Oryctolagus cuniculus: one gene and its partners. The protein of the gene in region 1 interacts with the protein of each later gene in a pairwise test. Links are inferred from orthologs where the notes say so. Each region holds a gene or a part of one and is shown in the gene's direction. Other genes may lie near its edges.

The links.
Region 2: the proteins of TSGA10 (region 1) and CCHCR1 interact in binary tests that used the Homo sapiens proteins (3 or more experiments, as listed by UniProt). The link is inferred for Oryctolagus cuniculus from reciprocal best matches to the Homo sapiens genes TSGA10 and CCHCR1.
Region 3: the proteins of TSGA10 (region 1) and zinc finger protein 426-like interact in binary tests that used the Homo sapiens proteins (3 or more experiments, as listed by UniProt). The two-hybrid records come from large-scale screens. The link is inferred for Oryctolagus cuniculus from reciprocal best matches to the Homo sapiens genes TSGA10 and ZNF426.

What each region holds. Positions count from the first base shown.
Region 1 is NC_091433.1:109,304,699-109,308,969, forward strand, and holds part of TSGA10 (testis-specific gene 10 protein), read left to right. Parts: intron 1-1,359; coding exon 1,360-1,488; intron 1,489-4,271. UniProt on the Homo sapiens protein: Plays a role in spermatogenesis. When overexpressed, prevents nuclear localization of HIF1A.
Region 2 is NC_091436.1:139,335,603-139,339,973, forward strand, and holds the start of CCHCR1 (coiled-coil alpha-helical rod protein 1), read left to right. Parts: upstream 1-1,420; 5' UTR 1,421-1,934; coding exon 1,935-2,150; intron 2,151-2,810; coding exon 2,811-2,877; intron 2,878-2,957; coding exon 2,958-3,171; intron 3,172-4,371. Other genes in the region: TCF19 (transcription factor 19), read right to left, coding at 1-68. UniProt on the Homo sapiens protein: May be a regulator of keratinocyte proliferation or differentiation.
Region 3 is NC_091447.1:67,469,483-67,473,853, reverse strand, and holds the start of zinc finger protein 426-like, read left to right. Parts: upstream 1-1,746; 5' UTR 1,747-2,261; intron 2,262-4,371. UniProt on the Homo sapiens protein: May be involved in transcriptional regulation.

The sequences.
Region 1 (4,271 bases):
GGTTTTTATATAGTCCATAAAAGCCTAAATAATTGATAATTTCAAGTACTCTGAAAGCTAATGCTCCAAATGTCTAGTAACTTTGAGAATGAAGAACAGAAAAGCAGGTTTTTGTCTTGTTTAGACAAAGGAAAAAAGGGAAGTAAATCTGCCAGCCTGTGTTAAGTGCTGGGTTGCACAGAGTACAAGTTTAGGTTAGTTGTTTGCGTGATCCTGATCCAGTAATTCCCTGAGATCTTGGAGAAAACAGCTGTGTTCACTGGAAATATATAGGAAGTTCGTAACAAACTCTTACTTTCTCAACATAATGGCAACTTTGATTGAGAGAAAGAAGTTATTTTGCTAATATGCAAAATCACCAGGATACACTGTCAGGTAAAAAGCACAACGCAGAGTATTATGTATAATAAAACGTCTTTCACGTTTGTAATGTTGCACATTGGCAAACGTATCTGTAGGATAAATTCCCAGAAGTCGGATTATTTGGACAGAGGCCATATGTGCATTTGTAATGTTAATAGATTTTTAAAAAGATTTATTTACTTATTTGAAAGGCAGAGTTAGAGAGAGGGGGTGGAAGAAAGAGATAGTGACCTTCCATCCGCTGGTTCATTCCACAAATAACCTCAATAGCCAAAGCTGGGCCGGTCCAAAGTCAGGAGCCAGGAGCTTCCTTTGGGTCTCCCACATGGGTGGCAGAGGCCCAAGCATTTGGGCCATCTGCTGCTGCTTTCCCAGATGCATTAACAGGAATCTGGATCGGAGGTGGAGCAACCAGGATTCAAACTGGCGCCCGTACCAGCACTGCAGGTGGCAGCTTTACCTGCTATGCCACTGCGCCAGCCCATTAGTAGATTTTTTGTATACACTTGTTCTCCATAAATATTGTATCCATTCACACTGCCACCAGAGTTGTTTAAGAATATTATAGTGTTTCATTTCTTTTTTTTTTATTTATGCAAATTACATTTCCTGGAAATCAGCGTTTACTATATGGGTAGCAAACCTTTGTTAAGTATACAATAGCAACTGCAAATGTGTAGCTGATGTCTACTATACCAGACAACAGAAGCCTAGAAATTGACTATTTAATTTACCACCAACCTGGGTTTACTTCGAATAGTGATTACAAGGGAATTAGGGCAGGGCATATCTTCTTTGAAAAGCATGTTCAATGTCATAGTTTGATATTTGGAAAACACAAAATTTTGTAACGAAATTTTAATCCTCCTAGCTGGTGGGAAATGGTTCTAAACAACATATTTAATAATGTTATTTTAAAAATTTATTGATCTGAAAAAAATCATAGAGCTGTTTTTAACTGAATGCTTGTGCATTGTTGTCCATTCTTTCCACTAGGTTACCACCAAAGAACATGATTTTGGTCTAGGGGCTCCAGTTTCTGAAGCTGAAAAATACCAGAAGACTCTGCAGCTAGAACAAGAAGTGAGAAACCAAGACAGATTCATCTCTACACTAAAATTACAGGTTTACCTTTAGTTTACATATGTATTTTTCTGAATTTGAATTGGAGCCTACTTTAAAACAAGATGGACAGGGTGGGCATTTGGCAGAGGTTAAGAAGTAACATGGGGCCGGTGCCGCGGCTCAATAGGCTAATCCTCCACCTAGCGGCGCCGGCACACCGGGTTCTAGTCCCGGTCGGGGCGCCGGATTCTGTCCTGGTTGCCCCTCTTCCAGGCCAGCTCTCTGCTGTGGCCAGGGAAGGCAGTGGAGGATGGCCCAAGTGCTTGGGCCCTGCATCCACATGGGAGACCAGGAGGAAGCACCTGGTTCCTGCCTTCGGATCAGTGCAGTGCGCTGGCCGCAGCACACCAGCCGTGGCAGCCATTGGAGGGTGAACCAACGGCAAAAGGAAGACCTTTCTCTCTGTCTCTCTCTCTCTCACTATCCACTCTGCCTGTCAAGAAAAAAATAAATTAATTAAAAAAAAAAAAAAAAAGGCAACATGGGGTACCACATCTCATGTTGGAATGCCTGAGTTTGAGTTCCCACTCCACTTCCAATCCAGCTTCTTGTTAGTGTGCACCCTGAGAAACAGCAGATGATGGCTCAAATACTTGGGTGGCACCTGTGTGGGAGACCTGGATGGAGTTCCAGACTCCTGGCTTTTGCCTGGCCCAGCGCTGGCTGGGCATTTCAGAAGTGAACTGGTGGGTGGAAGAAGTCTCTTTGTCTCTGTCTCTGTTGCCCTGCCTTTCAAGTAAATAAAAATTAATAAAGATGTTTAAGAATAAAACAAGATATAGAATAAATAATTATTAATTCACAGCTCATTTAAATCTAAACCATTCAATTTTTATCTTAACCTTTTGGATAAACAGGTTCAGAGTGAGTGAATGCAAACTTTGTGCCAACTTGTGAATCAGATGCTTTCAGGAACCTTTTGAAACAGTGATGGTATTTCCATTTATAGACATGAAGCTGAAGTTCCAGTAGGTTAAGTAATTGTGATATTCAGCGAATGAGTGACAGCTAGGATCTGTCTGAACTCCCAGGTTAGCTGAGATTTGGACCTAGTTCTCTAAACTCCCAAGTTCAGTGTTGTTCCTGTTCTCAGGATGTCTAATGTGGTATAACTGTTAATAAAGCCTGTGAAAGAGATTACAACTTTGGAATGGAGTAGACTTCTTTCTTTTGCTAAATACACCTAAAAACTCACTCTGAACTTTATATATAAAATAAACAAAAGAATGCTCTAAAAGTAGAGGGACATCAGGACACATGCTACTGAGTTCCTGGATTTTCTTTTTCCCTATATGTCTCAGACAGGGTGCAGGAAAAACTGGCAAATGGAAATGACAATGAGTGCAGAAAAAACAGACCTTAGAAAAACCATTCTTATCTGGCCAAAGGACCAGGAAATGGGCTGTCTAGCAAGGCAGATGACATTTAGACAATGTCTAATAACTGCCCTGTCCACACAAAGACCATAGAAAAAACTACAGCCCCATTCCTGCCAGCACAGGACAAGTGGAAAGCCTGTGCTTGTGCCTACGCTTGTACCCTTGCCAGGGTCTGACAGAGGTTCCCAAGCCTTCCTGTTCCCTCTCCCCTTTGTGGGCTGAGTACTGAAGTCCTCAGTAGGCGATGCCAAGTGGAGACCACATGGGGAGGCAGGACATCCTTCCCTATCCTGCAGGAAGAGGTAGCCTCCTCCTCCTTGGGATGGTGTGAGAGGAGACCTGGTGCAGAGTCAGGACACTGGCCATCTCTCAGCAGTAGCAAAGCCGCATACTCATGATGTCAGTGATAGACACAGGAGGAACCCTAAGGAGGAGCCTTTGTTCCTCCCAGCTCTGGTGGTAACAACAGAGGCCTAGAGGGAACCTGATCTCCCACCCCTGTCTAGGAGTACCTAGGAGCCTGGCCCTCCTCAGGTGTCAGCTGAGGTTGGGTAGAGAAACTGTACTTGTACCCTTTCCTAGCACTGATGAGGCAGTGTCTTCCTTTTCTAGTGAAAGGAATATTAAAAGAGGCCAGCTAAAGTAAAAGATCACAGTCTTACAGTCTCAATAGGTCTCAATTAAAAATTCACTCATCCCAATAATAAGAAATATGAGAAAAGACAAATCAGGCAAATATGAGAAATGAAACAGATGTTAACAGTTATCTGGTGGTCTGCACTGTGGAGTAGTGGGTAAAGCCACCACCTGCAGTGCCAGCATCCCGTAGGGGTGCCAGTTCGAGTCCTGGCTGCTCCACCTCCGATCCAGCTCTCTGCTATGGCCTGGGGAAGCAGTAGAAGATAGCCCTTCACCCACATGGGAGACCTGGAAGAAGCTCTTGGCTCCTGGCTTCGGATTGGCGCAGCTCCGGCCATTGCAGCCAATTGGGGAGTGAAACAGCAGATGGAAGACCTCCCTCTCTCTCTCTGCCTCTCCTCTCTCTATGTAACTCTTTCAAATAAACAAATAAATCTTTAAAAAAAAGTTTTATCTGTTGAAGATTTTAAAACAGTCATAAAAAAATGCTTAATAAATAATTATGGGCATGCTTGAAACAAAAGAGCAAAATAGAAAGTCTCAGCCAAGAAATTAAAGTTATAAAGAACAAAATGGGAATTTTAGAACTAAAATGACAATTGGCTCACATAAAAAATCTTGACACACATATTTCTAGCAGCTTTATCACAATTGCAAAAACCTGAAAGTAGTCAAGATATCCTTCAATAGTAGGTGAATGAATAAACAAACTTTGATAACTTTTATACAATGGAAAGTATAAGTGATAAGAAGAAATCAACTATG
Region 2 (4,371 bases), on another chromosome or scaffold:
GGGTGGAAGGTGTAGAGATCGCCGCCTCTGCCGCCCCCTATGCGCAGCAGCTGGAAGCAGGGCAGCATGGGCGGGCGCCCCTCTGCACCACCTGCTGCACTTCAGGAATCCATCGGCTCTTCCATTGCCTGAGCCGGGGCTCGATCTCACTTCTCAGTCTGGTGTGCAGACGTGAGCTGGGCTGTGTGCAGTTTCAACCTGGAGCGCTACTTGGGCAGTGCAAACCCGGAGGAGTGCAGGCAGCTGAGGCAGGCGATGCAAAACTGGCTGCGAAGCAGATGTGCAAGGGAAAAAAAAAAACAGGGAGGACAGGGTGCAAGGGGCAAACTGGAACGCGTCCTCCCGCCACTCAGTGGAGCTGGATCCTCGGGCCGCCAGACATCCCGGGAGCCTCCGACCTGCGCAAGGCAAAGGTCACGTTAGGCAGCTTCTGGGGAAATGCAAATCGGAGGCGTGTGTGGGTGCTGCTACACGAACGGGCTGCCCCGGTGCAATTTGAAGACAAGCTTCTTCCTGTCAGACCTGCTTATCCAAAACAACACCCCCCTCCCCGTTCGCCCGCGCCCTCGCTCTTTTTGGCCAATCCCTCATTCAGAACTAGCTTGAACCCCGGGGCGGGGGGAGTGAATTCACTGTCACCCCCCAACACACACACACATACACGCAAAGAGCAGTGCAAACAGGTCCCTAGGTACTCCCAACAAAGCGGATCTAAACCTCGCTTCCCGGCTTCCTTCGGGTGGGGTAAATCAGAAGAAGGAGCTCCTGGCGAACTCGCGAGCGCTCGCCCTCCCGGCCCCAGCTCCGTTTCGGACCTACCTGCGCGGCGCAGTCTTGGAGCGGGCTCCTCTCCAGGCGACGCCAGCCCGAGCGGCGGCCGCAGGTCCTCTCGGCCTCCTCAGCTGGGCTAAGCGCTCGCACTGCAGTTTGACAGCCAGGAAGCCGGGGCCGGGAGGGGCGCGGTCTCGGCGCGCGGGCAGCGCAGACCCCTCCTTCGGAATTCCCGGGTCCGAACTTCGCGCCCAGAGAGCCCGCCCCCAGGACCGCGCCTGATTGGCTAGTTCTGTGACCCTCTTCCGCTCCATTGGGCGGCGCGCTGGGCGGGTCCCGCGAGCTCCCGCCTTCCGCTTTTTCTGATTAGCTCAGAGGTTTTCCCGGGTCCCCGGAGTGGGGCGGAGCGGCCAAGGCGCGCAGTTGCTTAGACGCAGTAATTGGGCCCAGCTTTAGGCGCCACTGCGCCTGCGTGCACCTTTGCTCCTTTTCCTTCCTGGACAAAACGGAGTTTCAGAGCGGCCCGCCACGCCGCCCGCCTGGCGCAGGCGTAGTCAAGGGCGGAGGCCGGGCGGGGAGCGAGGTGTGGTGGGTGTGACCAAGGGGCGGAGGGGGCGTTCTCGCGCTGAGTAAGGGGCGTTCGGGAAGAGTCGGTTGGGGGCGGGAAGGGGCTGAGACGGGGTGCTGGGGGGTGCAGGGGGTCACAGGGGAAGAAGGGTACAGGGGCTGGGTAAAGGAGCGGATGAGGTGGTCAGGACGGCCTTAGAATTCAGGGTCCTGCAGGGTGTGCAGGGTGAAGGTTGAGGATATCAGGGCACGGAGGAGAGAGAGCAGAAATCAGACTAGGGTGCTGGGAGACGCGAGCAGGCTGCTTGTTAGCTGGGAGATGAGGGTGAGGGTGATGGACCAGAATAATTCCTTCAGGAAAAAAGCAGACTAGAATGCAGGAAGGGAATCCCAGGTGGGGGTGAATTCGGGTGGGAGTGTGTGAGAAAGATCTTGAAGGGCCCACTGTGCTCTAGGACCCTAGAGAGAGCAGGTCCGCAGGGATGGACGCCGAGGGCATGGGCAAGAGGGTAGTTGCAAGAAAGATCTGGCTCTTGTGCGGGGGCATCTAGGCCATCTGGACTCCCAGGCGGTCCTGGGGAGGTGTCCAGCCCTACATGTGGCCACATTCATCAGGGGCCAGGCCTTGGGCCAGCGCTCTGCTGGGAAAGGACCCGGGAGTCATGGCCTGGTGGTGTCTGGGTGGGCTTCCCCAAGGCCTTGCCGAGCCGTGGCGAGAACTCTGGAGGCTGGGCTCGGGGCCTCTGCACGGTGTGCCTCCTTCGTCCTCTCAGGCCAGGAGCAGCAGGGACAGTAGAAACCTCAGGAGAAGGGTAAAGACACTGCCTGAGTCCTAGCAGGATGATCAAAGCCCAAAAGCTCCCCCTTGGCTCGTCCACCTCCTTGAGTTTTCTCCGCCTCCCTCCTGGTTTCTGCCTGAGTTTTGTTTGTTTGTTTGTTTTGTTTTTGTTTTTTAAAGATTTATTTATTTGAAAGAGTACACAGAGGAGAAGCAGAGAGAGAGAGAGAGAGAGAGAGGTCTTCCATCCACTGGTCCACTCCCCAATTGGCCACAATGGCCGGAGCTGCGCCGATCCAAAGCCAGGAGTGAGGAGCTTCCTCCAGGTCTCCCAGGCGGGTGCAGGGACCCAATGACCTGGGCCATCTTCTGCTGCTTTCCCAGGCCATAGCAGAGAGCTGGATTGGAAGTGGAGTACCTAGGACTCGAACCTGTGCTCGTAAGGGATGCCGGCACTGCAGGTGGTGGCTTTACCCGTTAGGCCACAGCGCAGGCCCCCTGCCTGAGTTTTGCATTAGGACAAGCAGGCAGTGGGGTGGGGTCTCATACTTCTTCCACAAGAGTGGGAAGAGGAGCTGAGAGACAGGGGAGCTGGCTGTAATTTAGCATTGTGACTTTGTTATTGTAGGGGCTTTCTCTTTGGAAGGTGACCTGAAAATTGAACTGGAGTGTCCTTGTTTCTCCTCTTGTCCAGGGGAGCATAGAAGGCTGGAGGCAGCACCTAGCGTCTTCAAGTCACATGGAGATGTTTCAGCCCTCAGGTCAGTGGGGCGGCGCAGGCGAGGGGCTGGCGGTCGCCCCCGCTGCCTGGGAAGCTGACTGTGCTCTTGTGGTTCCGCAGGTGTCTCTGGCTTGATCCCCCCCTCCCACTTCCAAGCCCGGCCCCTTTCAACCGTGCCAAGGATGGCTCCCACCTGGGCTTCAGACATTCCCCTCGTCCAGCCCCAGGCCCGTCAGGATGTGTCACAGAGGCGGCTGGACACCCACAGACGCCAAGTGACCCTCTGGGAGCAGGACGTGTCCGGTGACGGGCAGGAGCCGGGGCGGAGAGGCAGGTAGGGGACTGTTGCCACCTTGTTCTCAGACTCGCTTTCTCGTGGCCTTTCTTCACTGAAACAGATTCCATGGCCTGTTACAAACCCTGACTCAGTAACTTGTTCATTTTTACATGAGCAATTATTGGTACCCACATTGCGTAAGTAATAAGACCTGGGGATGGGGCAGAGAAAAATGAAGAGAGATCTGACCTAAACTTTGTCTTTAAAAAATATGTTTATCTATGAGCAAGGCAGAGTTACAGAGAGAGAGGCAGAGACAGATCTTCCATCCACTGATTCACTCCCCTAATGTCTGCAGTACAGCTAGGGCTGGGCCAGGCCGAAGCCAGGAGCCCAAAACTAAATCTGGGTCTCTCACATGGGTGGCAGGGGCCCACGAACTCGGGCCATCTTCCACTGCCTCCCAGATGCATTAGCAGGGAGCTGGATTGAAAGTGGAGCAGCCAGGACTTGAACCAGAGCTCGGTGCTCGCAGCAATGGACATGGTGGCCAGCCTTCTCCCACCCCTAACTTAAACTTGACATTGCTTAGGAATTTAAACTCCTAGAGGAGACAGACTGACCACGCGTAGTTCAGAGCTCGAGGAAGAAGTACTAGAAATAGGCCTGGTGCCGTGGGGTGTGGGTTTATTCTGATGGAGCGGGTACAGAAAGCCTTTTCAGAGGGCAGGCGGTTGAGGGGCTGGCTCGGCCGTCTGTGAAGGTGTCGTCTGCAAATGTCCTTGTTGTCTCCTGTGTGTTTTCCACAGTTGTACCGGTTTCATTCTGCCACTTCTGTCTACCATGAGTGGGAGCACATCAAAGAGGAGTGGGTACGAGGAAGAGGGAGCAGAGACAGACCTGCTGTTTCTGTTTGACTGTCTGCTAGGGGTCTTGTGCACCTCTTAATTTCCCTAGGCTGCTCCAGAGCGCTACTCTCTATTTATTTGACAGGCAGCGTGACAGGGAGGGAGGAAGGGAGGGAGGGGCACCGAACACCTGCTGCTTCACCTCCATAGTGGCCACAGCACTCAGAGGTTGGCCAGGCAGAAGCCAGGAGCCAGGAGCTCCATCCAGGTCTCCCTCACGAGTGGCAGGGGCTGCACGCTCGTGGACGACTTCTGTTGCCTTTCCAGGCGCATTAGCAGGGAGCTGAGTTGGAAGCAGAACTTAAGGACTCAAACCAGTGCTTTGATGTGGGATGCCGTTGTTGCAAGT
Region 3 (4,371 bases), on another chromosome or scaffold:
TAACAGCAGTGACCTTTAGGGGTAGATGCTGTGGCTTGCAGCACCAGCATCCCGTATGGATACCAGTTCGAGTCCCGGTTGCTCCACTTCCAATCCAGTTCCCTGCTAATGCAGCAGAGCCTGGCCCAAGTACTTGGGTCCCTGCCACCATGTGGGAGACCAGGATGGGGTTCCTGGCTCCTGGCTTTGGCCTGGCCCAGCCCCAGCTTTTGCAGCCACAGACCTCATTAGGGTCAGGTGGCAAAAGGCTATGGCAGCAAAGGCAGCAACTCTGAAATCCCAGACCCTGTCAGCATCATTACCCATGAGCAGCTGTGGTCTCCTGGGAGGGGGTGCCCCTCACCATGAAATCCAGCTTCACTCTCAACCCCAGTTTCCTGCAAGTGTGCACCCTGGTATGTAGCAGGTAATGGCTCAGGTAGTTGAGTTTTGCCCACACACAGGAGACCTGGACCAAGTTCCTGGCTCTGAGCTGCTGCCTTGCTAGCTCTGGCAGTTGTGGACATCTGAGGAGTGAACCATGAGATTGGGGCTCTTCCCCACCACCTACTCTGCCCCCTCCCAGTAAATAATTTAAAAGAAAAAAAAACATAAACTCTTTTGACTACAAAAAAAAAAATTGTACACCAAAAGTTGAAAACAGAAAAAGCTGCATTAGAAAGTTGATAATGGGGCCCAGCGCTGTGGCATACAGGGTTAAACTGACGCCTGTGACGCTGGTATCCCTTACAGACCCCAGATCGAGTCCCGGCTGCTTCACTTCCGATGCAGCTCCCTGCTAATGCACCTGGGAAAGCAGCGGAGGATGGCCCAAATGCTTGGGCCCCTGCCATCCACATGGGAGACCCCGATGAAGCTCCTAGCTTTGGCTCAGTCCAGCTCCAGCCATTGGGGCCATTTGGAGAGTGAACCAGAGAATGTAAGATCTCTCTATCTCTCCCTCCTCTCTGTAACTTTGCTTTTCAAATAAGTAAAATACAACTTTAAGAAGAAAGTTTATAATGTACTTATTAGGTCCTGATAAAATGTGCTATTAAGAATTTAAATAAAAATTTACTTCTCAATTACCAGCCACTGAAAACTACAACAAACATGACTACTAGAGAAACTCTTTAATCATTCCTAAGTAAAGAATGCCATCCAGCAGTGGTATTTAAAAAATATATATTTATTTGAAAAAAAAAAATACCCCTACAGAGAGGTAGAGAGGTCTTCCATCCCCTGGCTCACTCCCCAGATGGCTGCAATGGCTGGAGCTATGCTGATCTGAAGCCAGGAGCCAGGAGCTTCTTCCAAGTTTCCCACGCTGGTGAAGGAGCCCAAGGACTTGGGCCATCTTCCACTGCTTTCCCAGGCCACAGCAGAGAGCTGGACCGGAAGTGGAGCAGCTGGGACTCGACCCGGCGCCCAATAGGCCACAGCACCAGCCGGCAGCGACATTTTACAACATTGGATGGCAGGCCCTGGATCACTGGAGATTCCCACAAAGCCCAGAAATAGTTGGGTTTAAAAAAAAAGTTTATGAGCTACAAAAAATATCAACACCCTGAAAACGCACAGGAATCCACGGTTAGAATTTAGCGTTCTATCCCGAGAGATACGTGAAATAGAGGTCTACAAACAAGGCTGACAGGGAGGAGGTGACCTGCCATTTATTTCATAGCTCGGCCTGCCCTTTGCCGTGGGACATTGTCAAGGGCGCCGGGCACGCGAGCGGAGGAAAGCACCCAGCGTGCGGCGAGTCCCCACCCACAGCCTTCGGGGTTCAGGGACAGGCGCCGTCCACTTCAACCGCGCCGAGTCCCCTCAGGGACCCCCAGCGCTCCGCGCCCAGGGCAACCGGAAGCTCCGCGGAGTCCCGCCCCGCAGCCCGGAGGCGGAAGTGGCGTCACAATCCGGCCGCGTCCCCCGTCCCGGGTTCGGGAAATCTCCAAAGCTGCTGCGTTTTCGTTCCTCCTCGGGTTGGTTCCTTCTTGGAGTCGCTCGCGTGAAGGGGAGGCCCTGAGTGTGGAAGGAAGGCGACGAAGGACGCGGGTGGCTTCCTCAGGGAGGCCCGGGCCTTCCGGAGCCGCGAGTCCTCCCGGGGCCGCGGGGCCCGAGCGGCCGCTCCGCGCGTGGGTGCCCCGGACGGGCCCGGGCCGGAAGCGTCGCGACAGCGCGGCCTGGGGACGTTTCCGTCCTCTGAGGTCGGGCCTTGGGAAATCTCCGGGGACCGCCCGTGCCCCGCGCTCCAGGAGGGATCCGGGATCCGGCGCGTTCCGGTGAGCTCCGAGCGAGAGTGGGTTCGCAGCGGGCCTCCCCGTGCTCGTAGTCGGCGTGGCGGCACGTCACGCTGAAGCAGGAGGATGAAGGTGCTTTCGGAGACGCCCGGTAGAGAGGTGTCTCGATGGGAGGGTTACACGCTCGTGGGCGACAGCTCGTCCTGCGGAAGGGAAAGTCGAACGCTCGATGTGCCTCGGCCCGGGCGTCTCACAGAGCTGACGGTCCGGGGCCGCCTCACTAACGCGAGGCTTGAAACAAGTCGAATTGACTGTTAACAGAGTGATAGTCTATCTTTTTCCCCACCTTCTTTCAAAAAATTTTAAATCTACCTAGGACAATGAATGCCCATTGTAATAGACTCCTCTGTGTTCAGCATGTGCCATGTTTTTTCTCTCTTCAGATAAGCAAACATATTTTATGGTTAAAATTATATGAGAGTGCATTGAAAATAAATTAGACATGATGCCTCCACGTTAGCTGCAGGTGTGATGTCTCCGTTGTTAGGTATTTGCTAATGCAACTCAAAGGTGAAAGACATTGGACTATTATTTCAATCAAGAAAGTGAAAGACTGTCACGTAATATCAACCCTTTTTAGTAGAAGCCAGAATTCTCCACATTGTTCCAAATTTGGCTTTTGTGCGGTTGAGGACATTTGGATAGGGAACCTGAGGATGGAGGATCTGTCTCTCCCTCCCTTCTGTCACTCTGCAGTTGAAATAAGTAATTAAATCTTTTTTTAAAAAAAAATCCATTCAAGGTTTTGTTAACAGAGTTAGAGAGAGAGATAGATCTTCACCTGCTGGTTCACTCCCTCAGTGACCACAGTGGAGGCCAGGAGCCTGGAACTCTGTCCAGGTCTCCCATGTGGGTGCAGGGACCCAAGCACTCTGGCCATCTTCTGCTTTCCCAGGCACATTAGCAGGGTGCTGGATCAGAAGTGGAGCAGCTGGGACTTGAATGCATGTTCAAATGGGATGCCAGCGTTGCAAGCAACAGCTTAACCCACTGTGCCATAATTTTGATGTTGCATTTATTAATGTCTTTTAGTCTGTTGAATCTAGGTTAGTTCCTATTGTTCCTGCATTATATTGACTTAAAGATTTATTTAAAGAGGAGGGAGATCTTCCACCTGCTGATCCACTCCACTAGTGACCACAGTGGCCTCGGCCAGAGCCATCTGGGTCTCCCACATGGATGTCACAGGCCCAAATAATTTGGCCATCTTCCACTGCTTTCCCAGGCACACTAGCCTGGAGCTGGATCCGAAGCTGGGCAGCTGGGACTCAGACTGGTACTCTGATAAGGGGTGCCAGTATTGCAGCAGATGATGGTGTGAAATGCTAGGGTTCCTGTCACTCACTTGGGAGACCAGAATGGAGTTCCTGGCTCCTGGCTTCAGCCAGACCCAGCTCGGGCTGTTAAGGACATTTGGATAGTGAACCTGAGGATGGAAGATCTGTCTCTCCCTCCCTTCTGTCACTCTGCATTTGAAATAAGTAATAAAATCTTTTTAAGAAAAAAAGAATGTTTTAAAAAAATGAAACTTTATTATATAAACCTAATAAAGGTATGATTTTCTGTTTGTTGTAAAAAACATATTCTTTTTTGCATTTAAAAAAAAAACTTATTGGTGGCTGGCGCCGTGGCTCAACAGGCTAATCCTCTGCCTTGCGGCACTGGCACACCGGGTTCTAGTCCCGGTCGGGGCGCCGGATTCTGTCCTGGTTGCCCCTCTTCCAGGCCAGCTCTCTGCTATGGCCCGGGAGTGCAGTGGAGGATGGCCCAAGTGCTTGGGCCCCTGCACCCCATGGGAGACCAGGAGAAGCACCTGGCTCCTGCCTTCAGATCAGTGCAGTGCGCCGGCCACAGCGCGCCTGCCGCGGCGGCCATTGGAGGGTGAACCAACGGCAAAAAAAAAGGAAGACCTTCCTTTCTGTCTCTCTCTCACTGTCCACTCTGCCTGTCAAAAAAAAAAAAAAAAAAAAAAAAAAACAACTTATTTATTTGAAATGCAGAGAGACAGAGAAAAGCATCTTCCATCTGCTTGTTCACTCCCGAAATGACTGCAATGGCCCAGACTGGGCCAGGCTGAAACCAGGACCTCAGG